Ovis aries: one gene and its partners. The protein of the gene in region 3 binds, or shares a complex with, the protein of the main gene of each other region. Links are inferred from orthologs where the notes say so. Each region holds a gene or a part of one and is shown on either strand. Other genes may lie near its edges. The genes, in order: PPP4R3B, PPP4C and PPP4R2.

Region 1 (5,976 bases), on a different chromosome or scaffold from region 3:
TAATATAACTAATTTGTAGGGAGTCGTACTTAAGAAAACAGTTCCTGAGAATTTTATATTTATGCAGGTGGAAAACAAAATGATTACAAAATATTTAGTCACGAAGCAAGCAAGCAAACAAACAAAAAAAACAAACTCAAAGTGGCTATCTGGTATAAGTCAGTATAAAGACAGAGAATAACCATCTGACTAGCTGACTTAAAAGAAATATCTTCAGGGTTCAACACAGAATAAATGTTTGATTCTCTCTCAAAAAAACACATAGTATTTTATAAGCAGAAAAAAACACTATTACTTGAATATTAAAAATTCAAAAATATTTCAAATTACTGATTATGAATGTATTGTATACACAAAATAATTGTTTTAACAGTAAGACTTTTACTAACAATGCACCGTGCAATAGACATATAATTTCATTTCTCCAACTGTAAAGTATTTGTTTCTGAGCATCAAAATTTTCACTGATCTTGAAGAGAGTAGGCACTGATGATATAAATATAATGATCTTTTCCTTCAAATTATTTATTTTTTCCTTTAAAAACCTCTACCATATTCACTTTACACACTGCACACACACACAAAATACACTGGAAAATTATCTTTTCCTCCAAAAATCTCTGCCATATTCACTTTACACATCAAACACACTAAAAATCAGTAATAATCCAAATTTCTAACAACAGGTGTATATATCATACAGTGTTTTTAAAAAAAGCCCAACTAGATCTGCATTGTTAACATGAACAAATCTTCAAAACAGTACTGAGTGAAAAATGAAAGCTGCAGAGTACATGTAAGAATAGGAGATCAATTGTGCAAAGTTTAAAACAAACAAAAGACTACATATTCTTTATGGATACATACATATGCAGAAAAGGTATAAAAGCATGTACAGAAATAATACACATCAATTTCAGAATAGTGGTTACCTATAGGGAGGATGGAGAATGGATAGAATGAAATGGGTACAAAGAGAGTTTTAATTCTATCCACAATGTTCAACACTACAAAAAGATTAGAAACAGATATGGTAAAATGTTAACATTGTTAAATTTGGAGGTGTTACACAGACACTCATTATATTATTCTCTGTACTTTTCAATTTTGAAATTTTTCATAATAAAAAAGAAAACATTCACAGAATAAAGGAAAGGTTGAATCACTGCTGCCATTTCCAGATTAGATAATTAGGCACACTAATACACAACATAGATTTTCTTTTCCCAGATAAGACAATAAATATTAACAGAAAACATTACATAATAAGCAGTGTACACTTTCATAAAATATCAATTGGTTATTATATTAAAAATATACAATTAAAGAACAGGATGTTAAGTGCTTCTACTTCAAAGTTTTACCTCTGTATGAGTCAAAGAATCTACTTTCACACCACAAACAGGCTTTCCTTGCTTTAAAGAGTACTCCTATGAATTTTCTTTTATGCCATTTCCTTTAACTGTGATTGAGAATAAAAGGCTTAGTGTACAGTGTATAAAAGATACCTGACTAGCTGCAGTTAAGTAAGACTAATGAATACATTGTATTCTACTAGAAACTAACAGTGGCTCAATTCAAAGATAATAAATTACTGCCAGTACAAAAGCTTGCACTTTTCAGTTTGAAAACTTTTAATCTGCAAGGAAAATACATACAGTATGTAACTTTGTTTACCAAATGTTTTTTTTCTTGTCAGGAAAGCTTTCCCATTCTTTGTCTGATTAATACTTCCTTGATCACAGATGAAGTCTTTCAAATTAAAGATAAACAACTACTTGCCTGCTGTTTTTGATATGCAGTGTTTGGATTTATCTTTGATTCCAAGAGTAGTGATCCTGAAAGTTAAAAAAATAATATTTATAAGTTTCAACTTACAAAACCCTGAGTAAAACATCAGAATACACATTAAAAAAAAAAACTTTTTTCTTTCCCAGGCAAGACATCTTAAGTCATCAAATATACTCCAGTTTACATTTTTCTCTCAAGATCTGGACTTTGCATTAGAACATATCATTCTATCCCCATAATACTCTTAAGGGAAAAAAATCCATCTAAGACCAACATTCAGACCAAGAATATACAGAGACTAGATGACTTATAGTTTTATTGAAAGGAAACTTTTTAAGGTCTAAATGACCACCTGAAACCAAATTCTTTTTAACAAAGTTATTTTTATTGCATTTCCAGTTTAACAAATAAAACAAATTACAAAGTACCACAACAGGGATCTAAATACTTTGCACACAAATTACAAAACTGCATTTATCCTTTTCTAAGAACAAAGGCCACCTCATGTAAAAATAAATGTCTATGATTACTTTAAAAAAAAGGTGCAAGAGTACAAGATGTGTCGAAAATAAACCGAAGACTATTATTCTTTTATTTGCACGTTATCAGCTGCTCAAATCCAGCGGTCAGATTACAGTGAGGAAGGTGTCTTCATTAAGGCTATACATTTTATCATTTAAAAATATTTCACATTAGACTCGTACAATAAATCAAGGAATACAAGTTTACAGTCTGGTCTGTTGTCCTAACTTGTTTAAGTTGTAAAGTATTCACTTGTTCACAGCACCCTCTACAAAGATAGCCTGGAGGGATCCCAGTCTGAAGATGTATGTGCTTGTGAGTGCATGTATCGTGGCAACAATCTGCAATAACCCCAGGAAAAAGGCGTCTTTTGGTTTTTCCCAGCACCTGTCTACTGTGGCAACTGGAGCTTGTTAATAAAATCAATTTTTTAAAAAAGAGTAACGTTTCATTAAATTTTTTGTATCAGAGATAAAATGTGTAAGAAAATAAAGGGGGACGGGGAGGGTCAGAAGGAGAGCACTAAACTGTTTTTCATTACTTCCTCCCTTCCCTCCCACACTCTCCCCGCTTCTTTAAGAGGCCAGACTGCAGAGAAAGGGATCAAGTGTTTTAATAAGGCTAGCAAGAGGAGGAAACAGAGACTCGGCGTACGACTGAGGGTCAATCCCGACAAAGTAGTTTGCTGTTACCTTACTGAAGTGAAGACACAAAACCAATGCGCTGTTCCAAGTGGCTGGCAGTAACAGTACTCGGCTCAGGGCCTAAACCCCAGGCTGTGCCCAAACCGGAGGCATTGTCCCCTATGCTACGGTTCCAATAACCTTACCGTCGGACTCTGCCCGAACCAGCAGCGACATTCCCTTGAGCTCCTCCACATAGGTAGAGGAGACGTGCCCGGTGCCTCGGTCGTCCCATTGCCGGTCTTCGTTCAGGGTATAGACCTTCACTCGCCGCCGCGTATCCGACATGGTGACTGCTGTCCCCACTGTTCCAGCCGCCGCCTCCTTGCTCACCTCCTTTACGCCCCTCACTCTTGAGAGACGGTAGCGGCGGTGGCGGCAGCGGCGGCGGCGGCTCCGGAGAGGCCCGAGTTCACCATGGCTCCCAGGTTCAGCCGCGGGAAAGGGCAACAGGAGCCACTGAGACCTTGCCGTCCAGATTCCCAGTTACCTCTCACTTCACCCCCGAACGCACCCACCCTCCCCACCCTTTACCCCCCAGAGCTCGCTCGCTCTCCCGCCGCCGCCGCGCCGCCGCCGCGGTAACTACTAAAGACCCGCCATCTTGTAACCCGATTCTCTCTGCCTTTCTCTTCCTCCTCCAGCAGGTTCGCACGGGCTGTCCTAGCAGGGGCTACGGCGGCCGACGAGTCCAACGTGTGACGCCTCTGTTTCTGCACGCGCTACCCAGGTCGGCCAAGCTCAGTATTCTCGCGAGGAGGGGTAGTGGAGTGAGGTGGGTGGGTCTAAGTGCGACTTCCTCCTCTCTCGGCCCCGCCTGCAGGCGTGGGCTCTCGCCAGGTGGGCGGTTCTCGCGAGCTCCGGGTCTTCGCTGGTGCCGCGAGACTTCTCTGCACTGGCGGCGAGGGCGGAGTTGTGGCTTCGGCTTCGTGCGGTTTGTTGGGGCTGCGCCCGGCGTGTGAGCAGCCGTGGACTCTAGCTCTGTGGAAAAAACGAAGCAAGTCTGGGAGGTACGCATCCTTGGACGGGACTCACCCTGAGCAGAAGGGAAGGAAATGTGCTCGCACTCCATAATGGAAGCTCGCCCTTTCAGCCTGTGAGAGAAAAATAGTTTAAACCTCTTTCTGTGAAGACGTTAGCCCTTTACTGCGACTCGAAACCCACTGAAACTCGCTAAGGAGTCTGCTACAGTTAAGCATCTCCTCAGGATGTTCTGTGGCTATCCAGGAGATTATAACATCGTACAAAAGTGCATTGGCAGTTTATTTCTCGTTCAGGCGTTATTTCTTGTCAGGCTTTTGGTGGCTGGCATACTTTCCGCTTCTTGAAAACAGTGTCCTTCCTGCGTTGGTAACCTCGGAACGTAAGTCTTCAGATAAGTTTAGGCAAGTGGCGGGGAACTACCTTCCTAACACATCTAAGAGCACTGTTTCCATATCTTTGAGTGTCTCCTGCTGGCATTTCTAGCGTTCTCTCTCGGGAGGTCTTCCGCACTGAATAAGCGAGGGGGCAGTCCTCTGGACGTTCACTTCGGTTGTCACACATCACATTAATTGTCAGACACTGCGCGGTATTGTTTGTCAGTCGCTGTTCGTTCTTGGTAGATTTCTTTTTGTTCGTTTTTAAAGACAGTTTCAGTTTGTTCTGCCGCCAGCTCTTGACAACCCTTTAGTCTGAAGGGTGAGAATCAAGCGAGATCGACAGGTTTTACCCTGCGGCGCATCTTGGGAGTTGTAGTCATTCCTTACCAATGGTGTTGTCAAAGCGTGCTTCTCTTTTGACCAAATCTTGTGCGTAAACCCAGCATACGAACTGACACGTGACATGCTTACACAGAGTAGGCTCCTGATGAAAAATAAACTCTCATTTCAAAATCTGGCTACATAGGGTTTTCTTTTAATCTAAAGAGAACCTAAGAAAATACACTTGAATTTAAGTAGTTACATGTGTTGGGGATTTCCTAGGTGGTGCAGGAGGTCGCAAAGAGTCGGACACGACTGAGCGACTGAACTGAACTGCAGGGGTAAAGAATTGCAGGAGACGAGATGCAGGTTCGATTCCTGGGTGGGGAAGATCCTGTGGAGAAGGAAATGGCAACCCACTCTAGTATTCTTGCCCGGGAAAACCCCAGGAACAGAGAAGCCTGGTCGGCTACAGTCCATGGGGTCACAGAAGAGTCTGAAATGACTTAGTGACTGAGCACAGATGCGTGCAATATATGTAGCAAAAGAGCACATTAATTGCTGTGACTAATGTGCACAAAATGCATTTTGAACCCAGAGAAAATAACATCTCTATCTCAGGTCAGAGAAGGCTTCACACTGGTAACTTTGGGACCTGATGTTAGAGGATCCCTGAGTGGAAGTTTGGCTTGAAAGGTGTTTAAGGCTGTGGGGACCAGGTGAACAAAGTCATAATGTGTTACTGGCCTAAAAGAATTTATGAGCAAGGTATGTATTAATATTGAAAATGAGAACTATATAGAAGTCACTTTGACACCATACGTTAAAAGCTTAATATCCTATGCTGCTACTGCTGCTAAGTTGCTTCAGTCGTGTCCGACTCTGTGCGACCCCACAGACGGCAGCCCACCAGGCTCTACCATCCCTGGGATTCTCCAGACAAGAACACTGGAGTGGGTTGCCATTTCCTTCTCCAATGCATGAAAGTGAAAAGTGAAAGTGAAGTCGCTCAGTAAGTGTCCCACTCTTAATTGAAATCACAGGAGTCATTTCCTGTACTTATTCAGTCATTCAACACTCATTGACTATATTAAGTGCTAGACGCTGTTCTAGTCAATGGATAAATAGGAAAAAATCCCTCTTTTCATGGCGCTTACATTCTAGTGCTGTTTAGTCCCTCAGTTGTGTTCAACTCTTTGCAACTCCATCAACTGTAGCCCTCCAGGTTCCTCTGACCATGGGACTTCCCAGGTAAGAATACTGGAGTAGGATGCCATTTCCTTCACCAGGAGATCTTA
Region 2 (4,533 bases), on a different chromosome or scaffold from region 3:
AGACTGGTGGTGTCAAGAACTTTCATTTGCCCAGTGGATACCGAGACTCAAGGCCTTGAAACTGCAAAGGCCTGGGAGCTGCATTTGCTCCTATGAAAAACATCAGCAGTTGAGAACAGCAGAGGGTTTTGAATGAGGTGGTCTTCAGGATGAAGTATAGCTTTGTCACCTGTAAATGGTATGACCCTGGTCCAGTCATTCTTATGTCTCCAAGTCTGAAATTCTTGCAGAGCTCAGATGAGATTCTGCATATCCAGAGACAGCATCTCATTCTTTGGTCAATGGTCAGCAGTGAAAGTGAGCAAGTGTGAGCCCTGAGAGGGCTGATGCCGCGGCCTGGTTCCCACATTGCGCTGAGGCCTTGCTGGCACGGAGGCAGGTTTTGACCGAGTCTGTGGAAAGGGCTGGTGTAAAGTCTCAGGAGATCTGTTCTCAGTTCCAGCCACCCTCCAGCTTTGTGACCTGGATCCTGCCCCTTTTCTCTCTAAACCTCAGTTTCTTTGTCTGATGAGGATGGGAAGAACCTCCCAAGTCAGTTGGAAAAGTATTGTAAGCAGTGGTGTGAGGATGTTTGGTACAAGATGCAGGACAGGCGGGAGAGCCTGGTTGCTCTCTGGCCCCTTGTATCACCGCCAGTGGCTCTTCCCATTCCTGGAAACCAGGGCACACCTCCCTGGAGCTGCCTTAGTTATGCAGTGCACCCTGAGCCCAGGGAGCTCCTGGTCTGGTGGGAAGGGACTGGCCGAGAGAGTGATGGCTGAGCAGGTGCCTCCCACATCAGACTCGCTTAATAAGAGCCAGACCCCAGAGTAGGCCGCCTTGGTTCAGTTCCTGTCTGTGTGGCCACAGCCGCTTTCTTCATCTGAGCCGTGGGAATCATTATAGCACCTGCCTTTGAGGGTGGTGGTTTGAGTGCCCGCATCATCCATGCAGAACTTTTTTAACGACTGACCTGGCACGTGGTGCGAACTGCTGCGTCCTTGGCTCCTCTGATCGTCAAGGACGAAATCTGGAAGCACAGCGCTACTTAACGTTGGGTGTCCGTAATGGGCAGTGATTTACATGTCAAGCTCGTTCAGGTAGAAGTAGATCACACTGCAAGGAAAGAGGGAGCACAGAGTCCTCGCTTCCTCTGAATGATAGAAGAGTGGCAACAGCATATCGCCTTGAAGGTGGATCTGATGGCTGGCCTGCCCAGGGCACCACCCTTGTGCCCAAGAACATTCCAGGGGAAGAAGGCCCCTGGGGTGGGGAGAGAGGGGCTGTAAGAGCCCAGCCAAGGCACTGTGTGGACAGGAGGAGGAGCTCTTGTCTTCTGGGAGTCGTTGCCAGATGTGTGAAAGGGAGCAGCCAGGAGGGTCAAGGTCAGGAAAGTCCTAGACTCCTTGGGAAGGCCTTGGATGCTGAACAAGAGCTGGGGCTTTGGCCTGTCAACTGTGGGGAACCACAGAAGGGTCTCGAACTTGGGGGCTGTGATTAGCCTTGCCTGGGGGAATTGTACACCTCCCACCTGCCCTATGGAGGTTCACGCCTCATCCTCTCTTCCCCTGCAGAAAAGGTCAGAAATTGGGTTGGGCTGGCCCGGCTCTGGTAACTTTGGTCTTCTGTCTCCAGAGAGATCTTGGTGGAGGAGAGCAACGTGCAGAGGGTGGACTCTCCAGTCACAGTGAGTTCCCGCTGTCCCCCCACAGCCTAGCTCGGTCTGTTAGGCCTGTGGGCGTCCTCCTTAGTCTTGTGGGCTCCAGGGTCTACCCCTCATCCCTGGGAGCCCCATCTTCAAGAGAGCCTTGCTAGAAGAAATGGTGGTTGTGGGCATGGTCTTTGGAGTCACTGGAGGGATGCTCTTGGCCTGGGCAGAAGGACTCTTAATTTGGTGAGTGAGTGAACTCCACGTGTTCCTGTGTGTTACTAGTGACTTTATTCTGGGTGTCTGGAGGGGAGTAGGGAGAGGAGGAGGCCAGGTTCTCTGGGAGCTGCAAGTCTAGCTGGAAAGAATTTGCTCTAGCTCTTGCCCACAGAATAGTTGGCACTCAGAGTGGGATGGGGGGATTGGGGTGGGAGAGGAGATTCTCGACTCTGGGAAGTAGAAGCTTTCAATCCAGGGAAGATCTCCTAGAAGAGGAAATGGTAACAGCTCCATATTCTTAGCTGGAAAATTCCACAGACAGAGGAGCCTGGTGGGCTACAGTCCATGGGGTTGCACAGAGTTGGGCATGGCTGAGCACATACACACACTCTCTCTTGGCTTGGCCGAGATGGATAAGGATCTTCTAAAGCAGGGACTTCCAGGTGGCTCTTGCCCTCTGAGAGGTCCCACATTCTGTCTGTGGAGTGTGTTTCTCTAAATAAATCCATTTCTTACCCGTAAATAAATGAAGCCAGGACTTCCCTGGTGGTCCAGCAGTTAAGACTCTGTGCTTCCACTGCAGGAGTTGTGGGCTTGTGGGTTTAATCCCTGGTGGGAACTAAGATCCCATGTGCCATGCAATGAGGCCAGAATTTTTAAAAAAAATAAAGCAGTAGGGTGTTTTTGAAGGACAGCCCCTGGCAGAAAGGCTTTCAGACTCTGAGTTCTGACCTGCCTCCTCACTTCCAGGTATGTGGTGACATCCATGGACAATTCTATGACCTCAAGGAGCTGTTCAGAGTGAGTGTGGGGAATGCCAGGAAAGGTGACCCAGGGGATGACTGCAAGACCCCTTTAGTTGAGAGTGGAGACTTTGGTGATGGGGTTGGGGGTCAGAGGCCTCTAGTTAGGTAGGCCCATTGTGGAAGAAGGGCCTCGACTTGACTGGAAATGGGCCGGTGCAGTGGGTTGGGGCGAGTTTAGGACCAAGCTGAACCTTCTTCCTCCCTCCCCAGGTGGGTGGCGATGTCCCTGAGACTAACTACCTCTTCATGGGGGACTTTGTGGATCGTGGTTTCTACAGTGTCGAAACGTTTCTCCTGCTGCTGGCACTTAAGGTGGGAACCCGCTGGCTTCTGGAGCCAAGACCTGGTCTGATTTGGCCTGCATCCTTTCTGCCCTCATTTCCTGCCCCATCTGCCCCCAAGTCTTGAGCTGTGCTGCTGGTGATAGACCGTTGCTGCTTGGGTGGTCAGGCAGCTTTCCTTGACTTGGGGGCATCTGATGAGGTCGAGGTGGGGACGGCATCATAGCGGGAAGGAAGAGAGGCTCACCCTGTTCAGAAAGTGGCCCGAGTGGAGTTCAGCTGGATACAGTATCCATTGGTAGGAGAGAGGTCGTAAGAGGCCAGATAACAAGGTGCTCTAAATGTCTTGCTAAGGGCTTGGTCCATACCTGGTGGATGAAGGAGGGACGGTTAGGTTTGTAGTTGAAGTGGGGGGTGGGAGGGAGTGAGAGGATTTGGCTTTGGATCCTCTGGAGGTGGGTCGGGGTGCCCGTGAGGTGAGTGTGGCACGATCCGGGCAGAGATGACTGGAATCTGGACTGGGGCGGTGGTGACGAGGGTGGAGCAGGGCTGGCAGACACGAGGACGTCGAGGAGGGAGGGACAGGCCCTGCATGGTGACTGCCTGCAGGTTCGCTATCCTGACCGCATCACCCTGATCCGGGGCAACCACGAGAGCCGTCAGATCACCCAGGTCTACGGCTTCTACGACGAGTGTCTGCGCAAGTACGGCTCAGTGACCGTGTGGCGCTACTGCACTGAGATCTTTGACTACCTCAGCCTGTCGGCCATCATCGATGGCAAGGTAGGCCCGCCGTGCAGCTCCCTGGGGACGGGAGGGCCGGCGGGGCTACAAGAGGCGCCGGGCCCCAGCCGGTCTTGCTCTCCTCGTAGATCTTCTGTGTGCACGGGGGGCTCTCCCCCTCCATCCAGACGCTGGACCAGATCCGGACAATTGACCGGAAGCAAGAGGTGCCCCACGACGGGCCCATGTGTGACCTGCTCTGGTCCGACCCTGAAGGTGAGGGCAAGAGCTCTGCTCTTAGCTTGGTGAGTGACCGAGGGGATCCTGTGGTTAGAGCAGGTGCCTGGAAGGGGTGGCCCTGGGCAGGTGAGTTTGGGGCAGAGTGGGGCTGGTCTTCACTGGCATTGGTGCTTGATGACCAGTGGGCTGGCATCCTCTATGAGGAGTGGGGATGAGGGTAGCTGGGTGCTTTGAGCTAGGGGGTTGGGGGGCATGTACGTCATACCTCAGGGGCTTGTTGAATGTGAATCATCAGCTTCCTGAATGTGAAGGGGCTGCTGCAAGGATCAGGCTCCCAGAATGATTGCCCCCAGAACCCACCTGCCAGTGCAGGAGATGTAAGAGATGCGGGTTCAATCCCTGGGTCGGGAAGATCCCCAGGAGGAGGGCATGGCAACCCACTCCAGTATTCTTGCCTGGAGAATCCCAAGGACAGGAGCCTGGTGGGCTACAGTCCATAGGGTCACAAAGTCAGACATAACTGAAGTCACTTAGCACGTACACACAAGGCGCCCTCATGTTGTGGGTGTTAGCTAGTATGGAGCATCGCCCAGATGAGAATTAAACCTCCCAGTACCAGTCTGGGCCTCTTGTGCTG
Region 3 (5,728 bases):
AAGTTAAACATCCACATACCATACGACCCAACCATTCCACTCTTGGATGGATTGCTATCCAAGAGAAAAGAATGCATACAAAGACGCATACACGAATGTTCATAGTTTGTTTTTTAAAACCTGGAAATAATGCGAATGTCCATCAACAAGTGAATGAACCAAAATCTGTAGGATATCCATGTAAAGACTACTACTAAAAAATAAAAAGGAATGAATTATTGATTTCTGGACATGGAGTCATCTTAAGTCACCCTGAGTAAAAAAAGGCAGATATAAAGCAATTATCCTCCAATTTAAAAAAAAATTGTTAAAAGACAAAGAATACACTGTATAATTCTATTTACATACAATTTCAGAACAGTTTAATCAGTTTAACCATAAATGATGACAGAAACTGCAAATTTCCATATCAAAAGTTAAGGCACGCTCAAATTGATTAAAAAACCAAAGGCTAAATAAAACTAAATGTAAAACCACTGAATCATAAATTTAAAAATATCTTCCAAAATCCATAAAGAATCTAACACCATCAGTCATTTTAATACAAAAATAGTAAGACCTATAGTAAGACCTAGAGATTAGCCGGGAGGGAGGAGGAGTGTGGACAAGGATGGGAAGACTGATGATCTTCTGAAGTCCTCTATTAGATAAATAATTGTTCAGAAAAATCAGGTTAAATTTTCCAAGCCACTTGGTGATCCAGTCAAACAGGATATTAAAAAGCTTCCTTGAAGAAACTTTCAACTATTTATACATTTATGGCCAATGCACTATATCAAGAAGGGAAGGCAATCTGCACAGACCTAGAAAGAGGTTTTAAGTATTTAACTCCAAACAATCTTGTTTATTAAAACTCTGAAGTAAAATGCTTCTCCTCCTGATATTGTAGAGGTATAAGTTAGGACCAACTAACAATTAATACAAATTAGTTATTCAGCATCAATTTTTTAAAAATCAAGATGTTCTAAGAGACTATAACTCAGAAGCAAAAATGACTTTTTTTTAATTCTGAAGGGTTCCACTTTTTTAAGGCAGTAAGTATAAACTTAAGATTGAATGCATCAGTCAAATTCCTAAGGTGACTGGTAATTTTAATAAGCACCAAGGAGTTTCAGTTTGTTGGCATGACCACTAAAGAGGTTCCCCCTGCCCCTTTTAAAAGCAGGCTAGTTATCAGGAGACTATGCTGCAACCATAAGCAAATCTTGTAAGAAATGAACATTTGCTAATAAAGCCAAACAAAAGGATACATAATTATGTAATGTACATAATTGCTGAAGCTTACACTTTTTTTATTAGGCCTCAAAAAGAATTTTTAAAAATCCCACTTTTTAACACTACACCCTCCAAAACCTCTCCCCTTCCTGCTCCCTACCCCTATACAAAGACACGACTACAAATCAGTCACCAAATCTTCACTGCTCTCTACAAATGAACAGTACAAGAATGAAAACAACTTCTGCAAAACACACTGGACACTATGAAACAATGTTCCTTTGAAAACAATCTTAACTTCACAGTGTAAGTTTTAGATTCATAAACGTTCCTTTGAAAACAGTCTTAACTTCACAGTATAAGTTTCAGATTCACAACATTTGGAATCAAGCCTAATAAAATGCTGAGCATATGCTAACAAGCTAGCTATCCTAGAAAGTTTACAGGACAGTCAAGACTGTAGCATCTGGAATTTGTCAGATAATCACCCTGAGTGCCCAAGAGAATAAGCAGAAGTGATACTTCCAGCACCCACATATATAAATGACAACAAAAGGCTGGATACAGGACAATATGAGAAAATACCACCACTAAAAAAAAAAAAAAAAAAAAAAGAAGCTGAAATAGAATCAAAGCCACAGAATTCTGGAAATAAGCCCGCTTGTTAATGGCCAAAAAGAGTCACAATGGAACATGCATTCTTCCTTTCTCTGGCTGTTCTAGAGGAATACATTCTAAATGTGCAAAAGCATAAAGAAAAATTTTAATACAATTTAAAAATTCATTACAGAGCATGGTGTGAAGTGAATGAAGCATATACACTGAGTAAATGCTTTAAATATGGGGCTTGTACAATTTAGACAGATGGATTATTCAATGCTTCTGAAATACACTTCTGTCCCTTTCCTAAGAGATTCTTAAGGACACACAGGTTTATGAATACGATTATGTTTTCAACTCACATTGTTTCTCCAGTCTTGGCTACATGACAAAGAAACTGATCCAGGACCGGACAAACTTCCTTTTTCCCCCTCTTCTCAAAATCTAGATAAGGGAAGAAAGAAGTTATTAGTATTTTTCAAAGTCCACCAACCATTTCCAATGCCCTTTAAAAACAAACTTTCCTCTCCAGTCATTCCTCATATTAAGAAACTAATTTTATTTTTAATTTAAAAAGCCTCTCAAATAAATTCCACCTGACTCTCCAACTTCAAATGTCACTCTTCACAGATAACGAGACCCTTCCTAAAGGGGGCACTTCTCCACCAACCATCCTTAATGCAGTCCGGGGGATTCATCTCAAAGACCTGTTAAAATACAAACCCCAGATCCCAACTCCCCCCAAAGTGTTTACGTGAGGTTCATAAATCTGCGTTATATGAAACACCAGCTCCCTCTTGCAGTCATCAACCAATGATCCTTGGTATCAAAGTCTAATTCTCAAAACGCTGCAATCACGGTATTCTAAGTTCTCAAGCCTGTTGCTCGGATGGCGAGCAATTCGGAACTGGGAAGGCGACCACTTCAGAATTGGGGCGCGTGGAAGATGACTCCAGAAGCTCTGAAAAAAGGGCCTCCAGAGACACTTGAAAGTTGCTCTGCCGCCCCCTTACCCCCGCCCCGAAACCTTTCACTTTCCCTCTCCCCACGATGTCCGGTGTGCAGGGGGATGATAGAGAACGAAGCCTGCCTGCGAGGGGCTGCGGGCCCCCGAAACGTTCACGGGGAGTGGGAGAGGGGCCGGGGCCCCCTCGAGAGCTTCCCGACTCCCCTCCCCCAGCCCAGACGCCGGCGGCCGACACAAAGCCCAGAGCGGGGCGGGAGGGAGCTGCCCACGGGGCTCCCCGCCCCCGGGAAAGCGGGAGGGGGGATGGGAGCCGGGGAAGCGCGCCCTCCCCCAGCCTGGCCCCGCGGAGTCACTCGCCCAGAAGGGAGCGGAGAGGCGGCCACGGAGGGTAAGGAGGAAGGGAGAGGGGGCAGCTACCCCCACCTTTCAGCGCCTCCTGCAGCCTCTCGACGTCCATGGCTTCCCGGAGTCCCTCGCAGCCTCCGCCTCCTTCCGCAGGTCTCCCGGGGACCGGAAGGCCTCCCCCCACCCCCCCGACGCCCTCCCCCTCCCTCGCACACACTCCGGCACGCAGGCGATTCGGGGGGGGCACCGAAGGGAGCTGGGGGAAGCGAGCGAGAGAGCGAGACCGAGAGAGCGAGCACCTCCCCGAGCCGCTACCACCAGCCCTCCAACATGGCGCCCGGCACGTCACCGCGCGCACGCTCCTCGCCGCCGTCCTCGCGCCCGCGGCGCGTCCGGACCCGGAGCCCGAGAGCGCGTGCGCGGCGGAGGCGTGCGGCCGCGGCCGGCCCCCAGACCCGGCAGGGCCGCCCCGCCTATCCCTTGGGTTGGCCGGAGCTGCCTGCACCAAGCTGGAGGCGGAGTGGTCTCGGCGGCGGGGTGGGCGCAGTTTGACTGTGGATCCCAGCTGCTTGCTAGCTGTGTGACCTTGAGCAATTTAATCAGTCCCTCTGAGCCTCCCTTTCCCCATCTGTACAATAGTGGGAGTAGTATGAACCACTCTTTACGGTTGCTGTGAAAATTAAGTGAGACTGTATACACACAGAACACGCATTAAAAAAAAAACTGAGTATCACTAGTAATCGTGACAAAATTAACTCCCTGCCTGAACCCAAAGCACCTCAATGGCCCAGGCTTGAAAAGAAGGAGTGAGCGCAGCAAAAGCATGAGAAGTTTAACCAATGGAACCAGCTGAATATAAAGTCCAACGCAACTATTTATTAATAATACTTGTGTGACCTAGTTGCTTAAACTCACATAGCTTCTGTTTTCTCATCCACAAAATGGAAATTCGTGAAACTGCGACAATAAAGCATTGAGCGCGTGTGGTGCCTGGAATATAAGCACTCAAGTTCATGTGGCTGCTGTTTTTATTATCATTATGGTTTTGATTACATTACATAAGCGCCCAGGAAGTTAGGGCGGAGGCCTCAGAAGTCCTCTCCCAGCCCTGACATCTTACAAACGGGATAGCTGAGGCGTAGACACGTAGTCTAGCAAAACAGTAGAACCTAGAACCTCTGGCAACCAGCTAGTGTGTGAACATCTTTATTACTCTCCCTTATCTGTGAGCTTTTCAAGAAAAGTTACTGAATTGTTCCACCATCGCTTCTCAAATCCTAACACAAACCCATGGAAGGAAGGGAGAGGGGCGGCAGGGAGGACAGAAAGCTAATTCTTGACTGGTGTTAGAAAGTGCAAATTTAGACACAACCATCACAAGTGTTGACCCTCTTAAAAGATAGTGGCTCTGACCCTGACCGTAGGTGGCAGACGTAGGGAAAAGCCCCACTACAAAAAAATTTCTTCAATTTTGCCATCAGAGAACTAGTCCCTAGTATCTTTAGATCCTTTCACTGTTCTAAGCATCCTGCTCAGTTACAAAGAGCCTTGTAGGAGATGTATTAGAATGGTGTCTTCACCCTGGGCCAGTGCTTTAAATGCACCCATGTTTGCGTTTGGTTGCTTCAGTCTTGTCTGACTCTGCAACACTCTGAACTAAAGCCTGCCGCGTTCCTCTGTCCATGGGATTATCCCAGCAAGAATATTGGAGTAGGTTGCCACGCCCTCCTCCAGGGGACCTTCCCCACCCAGGGATCGAACTCACATCTCCTGCATTGCAGGTGGATTGTTTATGGCTGAGCCACCAGGAAAGCCCATTAAATACATTGGATTTAGTTTATTGTCCTCTGGAGAAGAAAATGGCAACCCACTCCAGTATTCTTGCCTGGAGAATTCCAAGGACAGAGGAGCCTTTCCAGTCTGAAGGGGCCCGTCCTCTACATAGCAAAGCTTAGCCTCCCTCTGCCACCCTGGACTGTCTTTAAGCAGGGGTCTTCTGGTAGGAACTGTGTGGAACAATACAGTCACCACTAGCCATGTGTAGGTATTTAAACTTAAATTAAATAAAATTTAAATTCAACTCCTGAGTTCCTCAATACAATTCAATTCCTCAGTCTTGCTAGCCACATTTCCTGTGTTCAGAAGCCCCATGAGGCTAGTGACTTTTGCATTGTACAGCAGAGAAAGAAAATTCCATGATCGCCTAAAGTTCTTCTGGAACTTTCTTTTAGAGAACATAAGATGCTAATTTCTTACACCTTGCTCTGTCCCTTTTCATCAGCTGTTCCCCTCACTTGGAGATGCCTCCAAAGTGACTTCTAATAACTGGATAAGGTCCTTGAAAGGAGATAAAGTACACACAGCAGCCACAGCCTAAGGGAATCAGGGAAAACTTTCCCTAGAGGAAGTAGTTGTGTTTAAGCTGAGAGCTGAATTCTGAAAGGAAAGTAGCCCAAGTGAAGTGGAGAGGAGAAACATTCAAAGAGAAAAACTGTAGATGTGCACGGGCCTTGAAATGAGATCGAGGAGTGAGGTGGTTTCAGTCTGGCTAAAGCTGAGAGTGCAATGGAGGGAGAGGCAAGGGATAAGGCTGAGGAAATA

What was found.
Region 1: PPP4R2 (region 3) and PPP4R3B share a complex: the UniProt entries of both Homo sapiens proteins name them as parts of the PP4 complex. The link is inferred for Ovis aries from reciprocal best matches to the Homo sapiens genes PPP4R2 and PPP4R3B.
Region 2: PPP4R2 (region 3) and PPP4C share a complex: the UniProt entries of both Homo sapiens proteins name them as parts of the PP4 complex. The link is inferred for Ovis aries from reciprocal best matches to the Homo sapiens genes PPP4R2 and PPP4C.

The regions. Positions count from the first base shown.
Region 1 is NC_056056.1:68,466,819-68,472,794, reverse strand, and holds the start of PPP4R3B (serine/threonine-protein phosphatase 4 regulatory subunit 3B), read right to left. Parts: upstream 3,620-5,976; 5' UTR 3,285-3,619; coding exon 3,143-3,284; exon of another isoform or gene 3,006-3,142; intron 1,839-3,005; coding exon 1,783-1,838; intron 1-1,782. UniProt on the Homo sapiens protein: Regulatory subunit of serine/threonine-protein phosphatase 4 (PP4). May regulate the activity of PPP4C at centrosomal microtubule organizing centers.
Region 2 is NC_056077.1:26,717,537-26,722,069, reverse strand, and holds part of PPP4C (serine/threonine-protein phosphatase 4 catalytic subunit), read left to right. Parts: intron 1-1,614; coding exon 1,615-1,666; intron 1,667-1,708; exon of another isoform or gene 1,709-1,873; intron 1,874-2,596; coding exon 2,597-2,647; intron 2,648-2,862; coding exon 2,863-2,964; intron 2,965-3,542; coding exon 3,543-3,716; intron 3,717-3,805; coding exon 3,806-3,932; intron 3,933-4,533. UniProt on the Homo sapiens protein: Protein phosphatase that is involved in many processes such as microtubule organization at centrosomes, maturation of spliceosomal snRNPs, apoptosis, DNA repair, tumor necrosis factor (TNF)-alpha signaling, activation of c-Jun N-terminal kinase MAPK8, regulation of histone acetylation, DNA damage checkpoint signaling, NF-kappa-B activation and cell migration.
Region 3 is NC_056072.1:28,810,401-28,816,128, forward strand, and holds the start of PPP4R2 (serine/threonine-protein phosphatase 4 regulatory subunit 2), read right to left. Parts: upstream 3,467-5,728; 5' UTR 3,240-3,466; coding exon 3,206-3,239; intron 2,260-3,205; coding exon 2,178-2,259; intron 1-2,177. UniProt on the Homo sapiens protein: Regulatory subunit of serine/threonine-protein phosphatase 4 (PP4). May regulate the activity of PPP4C at centrosomal microtubule organizing centers.